Linked DNA regions of Arabidopsis thaliana. The protein of the gene in region 2 interacts with the protein of the main gene of each other region in a pairwise test. Each region holds a gene or a part of one and is shown on either strand. Other genes may lie near its edges.

What was found.
Region 1: the proteins of ARF17 (region 2) and WSIP2 interact in a two-hybrid assay, tested with the Arabidopsis thaliana proteins (one study listed by BioGRID).

Annotation. Positions count from the first base shown.
Region 1 is NC_003074.8:5,369,278-5,374,276, reverse strand, and holds the start of WSIP2 (WUS-interacting protein 2), read left to right. Parts: upstream 1-1,987; 5' UTR 1,988-2,112; exon of another isoform or gene 2,113-2,344; 5' UTR 2,345-2,407; coding exon 2,408-2,487; intron 2,488-2,657; coding exon 2,658-2,837; intron 2,838-2,926; coding exon 2,927-3,040; intron 3,041-3,151; coding exon 3,152-3,310; intron 3,311-3,394; coding exon 3,395-3,572; intron 3,573-3,657; coding exon 3,658-3,778; intron 3,779-4,301; coding exon 4,302-4,423; intron 4,424-4,505; coding exon 4,506-4,674; intron 4,675-4,823; coding exon 4,824-4,933; intron 4,934-4,999. UniProt on the Arabidopsis thaliana protein: Transcription corepressor of Zinc finger transcription factors GAF1/IDD2 and ENY/IDD1 in regulation of gibberellin homeostasis and signaling.
Region 2 is NC_003070.9:29,270,288-29,276,014, reverse strand, and holds ARF17 (auxin response factor 17), read right to left. Parts: upstream 3,811-5,727; 5' UTR 3,611-3,810; coding exon 2,543-3,610; intron 2,075-2,542; coding exon 1,352-2,074; 3' UTR 827-1,351; coding exon of another isoform or gene 822-826; 3' UTR 508-821; downstream 1-507. Other genes in the region: AT1G77840 (Translation initiation factor IF2/IF5), read right to left, coding at 5,615-5,727. UniProt on the Arabidopsis thaliana protein: Auxin response factors (ARFs) are transcriptional factors that bind specifically to the DNA sequence 5'-TGTCTC-3' found in the auxin-responsive promoter elements (AuxREs). Could act as transcriptional activator or repressor.

The DNA of each region.
Region 1 (4,999 bases), on a different chromosome or scaffold from region 2:
AATTTCGTCTCGATGTGAGATTGATAAACAGAGAGAGAGAGAGACAGAAGTACAAGTAGACTATTTATTTTGTTCTTTTTTATTATTTTTGCACACTTTTTTTTTTTTTTGCTCGCATAAAATAAACAAATTTTAAAAATATATATATAGTATTAAAAAAGAAGCTGATATGGAAAAGTCATAAACAATAAATAAAACTTTAACCAAAAGAAGAATAAAATTTTTGAACGTTAGTATCCGTTGTATAAAAGTGTATATATTAAGTTCCAACTGTATTTTTTTCTCATATCTATTTATTTATTTTTCCTTTTTATTATATGTGTCGTTTTAAAGTTTTTGTTTTACTCTTCTGTAATGTATTATACAGAAATAACATAATTATAAATAAGCTGGATTTTACCAATTATTTAATATAAAACGGAAAGGGTATGTTGTTGAAGATACTTGATGTTTTAAAATTTGAAGTTGTTGTAGTCATTGTTAAGGGTCGGCTGATGAGTCAGGACAACTCATTGAAACCATTTATTCGATGTTTCAAATATTAAACAAATAGACAGAAGATTCTACTATCTTCTTCAAAAATATAATATTAAACACAAGTCTTTGTTTCTTTGCTAGCTCTAGTTACAGAAATTTTGAATTAAAGCTATGAAAATAACTTTACGTTTAGTAAATTGCTAAAATATTCAGAGCGATCAGAAAGGAATGTTTGCTCTCTCATCTTAAAATTATATATTTGAGGTGATGCTTCTTCACCAACATGGGCAGATGGGCTTATGGAACCATTTGCTGATTAATTGCAGTCATTGATAACTGTCTGGGTGTGTCATTGTCATCAAAGTGATTGTTCAAGGAAAACATGTTTGGGACGAAATTGATTCCCAATCATGTTTAGCAATTGGGCCAGTCAATTCCCCCGATAATCTAGACCTAAAAGCCCAAACCAATGTAAGCAATACTGGTGTAGGAATACTTGTAAGAAGATTTGATATGACTCCTACTAGAACCATAATGTGGATGGACTGTTGAAGTAGCATAGTAATTACTAGCCAAAACATCCATGGGAAAAAAAATAAAGTACAAATATAAATTTTGATTTTTTTTTTTTTTATAAATAGAACAAAACTAAACATGTGAATAGGCCATATCTCTTAAATTCCTAACAAATTAGCATAATATATTCACGGAAATGCGTTACAAACCGTATTATAGAATAAAACTCCACTTTTTACTGTGAATTACTATAACAAAAAAGAAAGAATACACATTTGTAAAATTCACTTATTTGTTACCACATAAGATTTATATTTTTCCAAAAGTAAATTATCCATAAAACCTTTAATTTGTTTTTTTGACAATAAAAGATGAAGAAAATAAAATTTAATTAATTTGCGTACTACATAACTGGAAATAAAAATATCACATCTGATTTACTGCTATTCTTCTCTAAATTAAAAACTTCAAAATCCATTACTTAAATAATTAATTCATAAAAAAAATATTTGCAATATTAATTGACGGTTAGTTGATGTCATAAAAATAATATAATGGCACTAAATTCTATACAGAAACAGAAATAAACCAATTATGAGATACTCTACTTTAATGTATAGTTTGAAAAACAAAAAAAAATCCCCAGCTACGTTCAAAACCTAACGAGAGAGCATTAAATTAGACAGCAGTGTTGTACTAGATTCGCAACAACATCAATACGTCACTTAAATTAAAATAAAATACGAAAACATTAAATTAAAATAAATTTTAGAAAAAGTAATTAAAACGAAGGTTACTTATTATAGTGGGGAGATTAAGCTTTTTGAGTAAATTCCTATCTACAAAATACACGCTTCTATTAAAAAAAATAGAAGCCCAACGACCACACAAAAACAAATTAATTAAATCATAAAAACTCATAAATTAAAATAAAAAGCAATAAATCCAAAAAAAAAAAAAGGAAACTCCGAAAACGAGACAGCATCAGAAATTATCGCCATAAATAGCCCCCACGTCTCTCTCTCTCTCTTCTCCAAAGTCTTCTTCTTCTTCTTCTTCTTCTTCCTCTTCTTCCTCTCTGCTTTGTCTCTCTCCTTCTTCAAAGTCAAAATTCAACAGGTATTTATATTTATAAACTTTCCTTTTTTTCTTTAATCTCTTTCTCGGGAGCCTCTCTCGTATATTCTCGCACGTGCACATCTCGTGCCACCTGGGTTTGGGGGGATTCGTCTTTCGAATTCGATCGATTTCGTTTTTTTTTTTAGATCTGTCTTTCCTTTTTTGGGGTGTGAAGAAGATGTTTTCTTTTATAAAACCCTAATTCTCTCTTTGTGTCTTTGTGTTTGATTAGTGGTTCATGAGTGGTATTGTGATCGATCTGTTACTTTCGGAGAGCGAGCAATAAGAAGAGGATATGTCGTCACTCAGCAGAGAACTCGTGTTTTTAATACTTCAGTTTCTCGATGAAGAGAAATTCAAAGATACTGTTCACAGGTAATTTATATTATATCATTGTTTAATTGCGGTCCCTCTTCCTTTGATTGTCGGGATTAGAGTAAAGTAGGGATTAAGATTAATTAATTTTGATTTTGTAATTTAGCATTATTTCTTCAATGTTAATCCAGAAGCAGTTACAACTTTGGATATTTTTTTTGACTAATTAGGTTGGAGAAAGAGTCTGGTTTTTTCTTCAACATGAGGTACTTTGAAGATAGTGTAACAGCTGGTGAATGGGATGATGTAGAGAAGTATCTTTCTGGATTCACTAAAGTTGATGATAATAGATACTCTATGAAAATATTTTTCGAGATTCGGAAGCAGAAGTACCTTGAAGCACTTGACAAGTAAAGTTTCACTTGTGTTGTTTAGTTTTATTGAATTGAAGTGTGGTTTTGAGTATTGATTTGTTTTCCCATCTTTTGTTTTACCATAGGAAAGATCATGCCAAGGCGGTTGATATTCTTGTTAAGGAGTTGAAAGTGTTCTCGACATTCAACGAAGAGCTTTTTAAGGAGATTACCATGCTTTTAACCTTGACTAACTTCAGGTACATTCTTTACTTTCTTAGCACTTTTTTTTTATGGTTTCATTGACCACTGGATTGTTATAAACCATGCGCTTGTGGTGTTGATGTTTCATTTACTTGCAATAATTCAAGGGAAAATGAGCAGCTTTCCAAGTATGGAGATACTAAGTCCGCAAGAGGTATCATGCTTGGGGAACTTAAAAAACTGATTGAAGCAAATCCTCTCTTCCGAGACAAACTTCAATTTCCCAGTTTGAAGAATTCTAGATTGAGAACCTTAATAAATCAAAGGTACAAGCTTTGTTTTTTTAACTTTTGCTCCCGTTTTTCTTTTGGTGGAACAACTAACTGAACGTTGCTTCTGCTGAATCATAGTTTGAACTGGCAACATCAGCTTTGCAAGAATCCTAGGCCTAACCCGGATATAAAAACACTATTTGTTGACCATACGTGTGGGCATCCCAATGGTGCACACACTCCTTCCCCTACAACTAATCATTTAATGGGTTCAGTCCCTAAAGTTGGAGGCTTCCCACCATTAGGTGCTCACGGTGTAAGTTGCTCTAAGATTACAGCTTCTGTTGGATTAGTTTTTAGCACATGAATTTAACTTTGCTAGTTTGTATGCTCTTGTTCAGCCATTTCAGCCAACACCAGCTCCTCTTACAACATCTCTTGCAGGATGGATGCCTAATCCATCGGTACAACACCCTACTGTTTCCGCTGGGCCTATCGGCTTAGGTGCCCCCAACAGTGCTGGTAATGTTGTCCCTACTAATTTTATTCTTCTGAAATATGTGTGTTGGAGATTTAGTTTACCAAATATTAGCTTATACGGTTATGTAATTTGCCATCCCTTGTTTAGATCATCATTAGTTGGATGGTTATCTGTGCTTCTTTGACTGACTGAACTGCATGAAATGATATAAATATATTTACTGAGTTACATTTTCCAGAGCTGTAGTGGTAAACTGTCTCTCTTTTCTTTTACGGACTAAAGCAGTTTTTAGTGGTAAACTGTCTCTATGGTGGATTAGAGAGAGAGAGAGAACTATATGCTCATATCAGCCGTTTTGTTTAATTTCACAATACTCTTGTTTATAGATAATAGATAGAGAAGCAAACATTTAATTTAATGTCAGATAGCCTTGAAGTGCTGTCTTAGGTCTGAAACTTTTATTTATTTCATTTTTTGTAGTCCATAACGTGGAGATCAGTTTGTGTGTGTTTACCAATTGCATAGCTTACCATAATCTATTTATTCTTCTTTTTTTCCTTGCAGTGTCTATGTTAAAGCGTGAGCGTCCCAGGAGTCCTCCAACTAATAGCCTATCAATGGATTATCAGACGGCAGATTCTGAAAGTGTGTTGAAGAGACCCAGACCTTTTGGTATTTCAGATGGGGTATTAACGGCTGCTTGTTCGTTTTTCAGCTTAAGTTCTCAACTTTTCTTAGAAGTCACAACTTTCTTTGAACATTTTACAGGTTAATAATCTTCCAGTCAATGTCTTGCCAGTCACATATCCAGGGCAAAGCCATGCTCATGCAACTTATTCTACTGATGACTTGCCCAAAAACGTTAGCAGGATTTTGAGTCAGGGTTCTGCCATTAAGAGCATGGATTTTCATCCAGTACAGCAAACTATGCTCCTTGGTTGGTTTTCTCCTCTGAAGCACGCATCATTCTTCTGTTTTATTCTGGTTTATGCCAGAGAAACCTGCAAAACTTGTATCAGACAGCATAACTTTCATCTTCTCAGTACAATCTGCTTACTTTATCTTGGATTTACATTTGTTTCCTAGTTGGCACCAATCTTGGTGATATTGCAATATGGGAGGTGGGTAGCAGGGAGAAGCTCGTTTCTAGAAGCTTTAAAGTTTGGGATCTTGCTACTTGCACTGTGAACCTTCAGGTATAGTTCCTCTTTATTGATCTACTGTAACAGTCGAATGAGGTGGGAGATTTGTTGTTAGTTAGT
Region 2 (5,727 bases):
CAGGGCCACTCTTCCCAAGTACACATAAACATTGAAACAATCTGATGTTGATCTAGTTTTACCAAATTTATATAATGTAGTACTCCTATTACCGTGCAAAACAGTGAGAGACATGGAGCCAAGTCTCCTCCAATTGTTTAATGAGATCTTCAAATCTCAAATGTCTTTTTATGCATAATTCAAGTCGTCGTCTTAATTGCTAATCAAACCAACCTAATATATTTTGTCTCATTGGTAGCTATTAGCTAATCAAACCAACCCTAACTTACTGACAAATTGGAAATGCTATAGCTGATCCGTTAATGAATCACAGAGAACAGAACATAAAGGAGTCAGAAAAGTGTAGGAGGGACCTCCCTTGAGCTTCTTTTATTTATTAGGAGAATAAAAATGGTCCGATTTTATTATTGGCAGTCTTTTTATTTATTAGGAATATTAACTAAAAGCAAAAAACAGTTAGTAAAACTCTCTGGTTGGCGCCGTTAAGTTAGATCCATTGCATAGGGATTGAATAAAGCATTAAATTATTTGCTGTTTTCACTCTGCATAAACATCAGTCTTAAAACATGTTTAGGTAAGACAAATCCAGACATTTACCCCAATAAAAATAGTTAACGATTAGATGAGAGCGAGATGTTCATCAAATGTGTCTGAGAAATTGATAAAAAAAAAAGAAAGAAAGTAAAAAACGGAATCGTCACGTGGCAAAGAAAAGCCAGAGAAAAGTCAATTGCAGAAACAACAGAATTATATATAATAGTACTACTACTACTACTTAGGACTTGGAGATTCCAGCAAAGATCCACCACTTCTTTCACTTTTTAACCTGTCAAAACACACACAAACAGAAGAAAAGTACAAATCATTCCAAGCTTCAGGATCTTCCAACATTATAATCGTCTATAAGCAGCAGCTTCAAGCTTTCTGCAAATCAAATTTGTAATGGAACCACATAATTCTTCATCTACTTGTACAGTAATGTCTAGTTCAGATGGATAAAAGAGCCAATTCTGTGTCCTTATTACCGTTAACGAGACCCAAAAAAAATAGCAGGAATAGTAAATATCAGCAGTAATAAAAGCATACCAAGTATAGTGAAACATATATGATGAAACAGGAAAGCTTATGCTATTGAAAAGTTAAAATCCAAGTAATGTTCAAGTTCCAAATTCCAATTACCTCAAGGCGACTGATTACTGAAGAGATATATAGATAGTTTTCACAAGTATCATCATCAGTCAAGTCATATCAGAAATCATGATTGTGTTTCCTACTCTACATAATATAGTTCATGGGAAAGGAAGAGAAATTGCCTTGTGCAAAACAGTAATAAAAGCTTATAGCAACTGATTCAATTGATTATTGTACTTGAGAGAGATCGGAATATACCTTGGGAGCTAGAACCTGCGTTGCTGTTGGAATGTTTAGGCACGCTTGGAGGAGCATGTGATAAGGACAACTGTGTCTCATTGTCGCTGGACTCTTTGCTGCCATCCTCTTCACACAAGCCAGACTCTGCAGGACCGCTCTCAGAATGCTCCTCCACGGTAATGATCTTGCCAAACAACTGAATCGAGTTAACTTTCTTTGAAAGGGGGCCTCGGTTTCCAACCAGGTCATTTCCAGAGGACAGATTAGTGGTGTTGCTATTAGGCGATAAGTTATCTGATGGCGGACTGCCAAAGTTCATCATCTCAGTCGACACTTTTCCCAAATCAGGAAGCGGACTTAAGAAGTTATTGGTGAATAGCTGGGGAGGATTTCCTCCAATGAATCCGGTTGGATTGAAAGACCCAAAATCATATTGCCTGGCTCCCTGCATGCCAGCAGGAAATGTAGAATACGAGAACATAGAAGGACTTGGATCAGGTGCTGCTGCACTAGACAGTCCACTTTGAGGATAAAGGATTTCTCCATCATCTCCACTCAAGAACCCTCCTCCGGGTTGTGGATACTTCAACCTCTTTGCTGGAGGGAAAGGGGTATGCAGTTGAGTTGCATGTGCAGCAATTTCCACTTGCCATGGATTCACCCTCTTCACGTTTTGCAGAATCTCAGGTTCATCCCATGTGATCTACGCAAGTTAAAAACAAAGGAACTAATCAGAGGAAGTAGAATATATTGGCAAAAAAGGAGTATCTCATAAGACTAATCAGAGGAACTCTAGTTTAACAAACACAATGTACAATGCGTGGCCAAAGAAGGATAATGAAAAGCAACTCTACATCACGGACGCTCAACACAAACAATACTAAGCCAAATCTTCCAGTTTCAATTCCATCTTATAGAAGATGAATCTGAGAGAGAACATTCATTTTCGTATGAATTAACTTATCCTGTTTCCAATATTTACCTTCAAAACAACAACACAGCAATCAAAACAACATTCAAAACCCAATTGACATTTGAATAACCAGGATGAGACTTAAACTACTCATGAAAGGCTTGCACACAACAGATACAAGATCGATTCTGAATTGTTCCATTAACGCAACATTATAGAGATAAGAAGAGCAAAGACCATTTCAAAAACATCATATACCTGAAGCTGCTTCCATGGAGATCCACGCCATGGACCGGTCTCCTGATAAGTAGAGGAAACGATGCCTTGAAACCATGTGATCCGAGAAGAATCTTCAGTCTCCATAGCCATCTTGACTCGAGTCCCAGGAGTCCAATACATAGACATTGAAGACTCAACATCTTCAGCTCTCACAACAAACTCAGACCATCCAGCAGCCGGATAAAACACCACCTCAAATGGTAATCCCTGAGACGCTCTATTGATCGCATCCGTCACAGCCTCAGCAGTCAACTTACCATTCCCAGATCTCCTAAACGTCTTCTTCGGACTCCCATCATCTTCCTTGGCAACGCTACTCTGACTGTAGTAACCGTTATACTCATCTCCTCCGTAATAGCTACTTCCTCCGTCGCTGCTTGAGATCGGAGTTCTCCTAACGCCGATGAACATCTCATCTGCAGATTTTCTCATAAACACCACCGAATCTCCAGCGATGAGCTTCTTGCTATTGACGAACTTACTCCATCCCGTTGTTAGCAAGTGACGCCTCGGTGTACCGCGATAGATATGCCTGAAATCCCAAACAGCTCCATGGATATCAGTGACGTAGAGCTTCTGAACCGGTGGATCGATTTGAAAATTAAGCAGAGGGAAGACGGAATCAGCACAGAAACGAGGAACGGAGAAGCCACCTCCATTGTTAGCATCAGAAGGCGTGAGAATTTTGGCGAAGGTAGTCACCTTGTTGTTATCATCAACATCGCCATCGAATCTGCCGAATCGTGAATAATTAGTCGGAGTAAACTGCTGCTGCGTCATCGGTTGAAGAATAAGGTGAGCAAAGACCTCGTCGGTGACCGGATCGGCGAGCAACTGAATTGAAGTGATGATACATGGAACCGGCGAGGTGGAGGAAGGAAGAGTAGAGAGGAGAGGGCAACAGTGCTCAACGTGACCTTGTGGAAAGTAGTAAACCCTAGAGTGAAGGACAGGGATCTGGACGGAGGCTCCAGCACAAGCGCGCCAGATCGTCGGGTCTACTTCACGGTGGTTGATGTCACCGGCGGTTGCCGACGGCGGTGACATAGGTATTTGTTTTCAGTGTAAACGAAGTCAGCGAATGAAGAAGAAGAAGAAGAGGTAGGTACTGTTTTTATAGAGAGAGACCGTGATGTCTTAGAAGGAATTGAAACGGGCAGAGAAGGGAAGCGAAAGCGGAGGGTGAGGAGATAATAGCGAATTACTGTTACGATGCTACGGGATTTTGTGTTTGATTTTATTTTTTTTGTTTGTGAGAAGGAAATTATAGTTTTTGCCACACGACAACAAACTTTTAATATCTCTCTTCACTAACCTGATTCTATTAACCGTTCGATCTTTAGCGCGTGCATCTTACTCTCTATCTTTTTGGTTTTTCTTCTCATTATTTTTAGGTTCAATTAATGATGCTCTTTTTTTTATTATTGTTATTAAAACTCACTGAATTATGAAGAACTAAGAAATGCATTTAAGAAAGAAAAAACTGAAAAGGGAATATTCCTGTAGATTTTTAGAATGATTAGAGAAACATTAATCATGTTTTTGTGCTTATCCCTCGTTAGCTAGTATTTTTTGTCACAACAGAAAAGAACACTACGGAACTTATCATTATTCAAGACAAAAAAATTTGAAATAGGTTTGTTCAAGTTGGGATGAGTTATTGAATATATAATAGAAAGACAAAAAAACTAATTTATGTTATAATAAGACCATTTTCAGGTTTTGGCGAAAAAGATGTGTTGAAATTTTCAATGTCGATTTTTTTATAATCACATTAGTAGATAAAAGAAAAATACCACTTTATTTGTTTGTCATTATCACTTTTTATTTTTTATGTGTGTGTTTTTACGGTACATTTTTTGTTTTTATACAAAAGCAATTTGTCAATTTTTCTACAAAATCAAAGAAAATCCAAGTGGATCCGTTTCAAAATTATCTTGTTTGTTGCGGTTGCCATTAGCAAGCTGTCTTACTTTTAATCTTTTTTTCTGTTTTAATTTAAGAACAAGATAAATTCAGAAAAAGATCTAAATATCCAAATGGAAGAAAAAAAACAGGATATTGAAATAGATACATGATTCCTTTTTTCTGTTAATATATTTGTTTGTTGCAATTCGATAATCGAAAAAAGCTTTAAGTTGTTAACACTAAAAAAATACATTTTAAACCGGTTGAACCAACTTTATTAAGATGTCAGTAATTTTTATTTGGTTATCCATTCTACTTTTCACAACATATAAAACATACCGACAATTTAATAAGGAAAATAAAGTACAATTTCGTCTGCTTTTATTTTGTACAGATGTAAGAAAAGCTTTACATCTTTTTTGTTTTTGTTTTTCTTGGTGAAAACATGTTTTTTTGTTTGTCACAATATTTGTTTTTCTGTCCATTATGTTTTACCCAATTAAAGTGTAAATATTTCGATAAATTTAAGTGACAACCCTAAAAACTGGGACCATTTGTTTTTAAATTTGGATTGTTGTAAATCAGTAAATGGCAAGTTGTCTTCGGTTTACCTTTTCCACTTTAATCCCTTAAAATCTGTTAATCTTAACAATACACAAATTATCTATCAATAAATAAATGTAAAAATCAATTTCGCTATTATTATTATTTTCCTTGGCGCGTGGGAATAGCAGATAGATGGGTGGGTCAGTTAAGAATGTTTGTTGTGAATTTTTAAATATCAATATTATTTTCGACGGCACATCTATCAGTTAAAAAAAAAACCTAAAAACAAAAGACAGAGAATGCAATTTATTATGCTCCGTTGAAACGGGCCTCTGCTTCTGTTTTTCGCATGTTTGTTGATCTAAGGCCCACTATCACATCATGGTTACGATATAATATATAAAAGTCAATGACCAATGAAACCTTCTTAAACATAAATATTTCCCAAAGTCGTCAAAACCAAATCCAAACGAAGACAACTTTAATAGATGATGTTTCTTTATAAGAACACAGCAAAAAGATTTAAGAATTCTGAAAACTGACGAAGTATTATAAGAAATGCCGCAAAGAAAAGTTAGGAGGGAAGAAAAAAGTGACTCAATCCTCCTCTTCGGACTCAGACTCAGCGCTCTGAAGCCACTCCACAAAAGGCTTAACATTCTTCCAAACCGGCGAGCTTTTGTCAGCTCCGGTGAGACCCTTTTCGTACC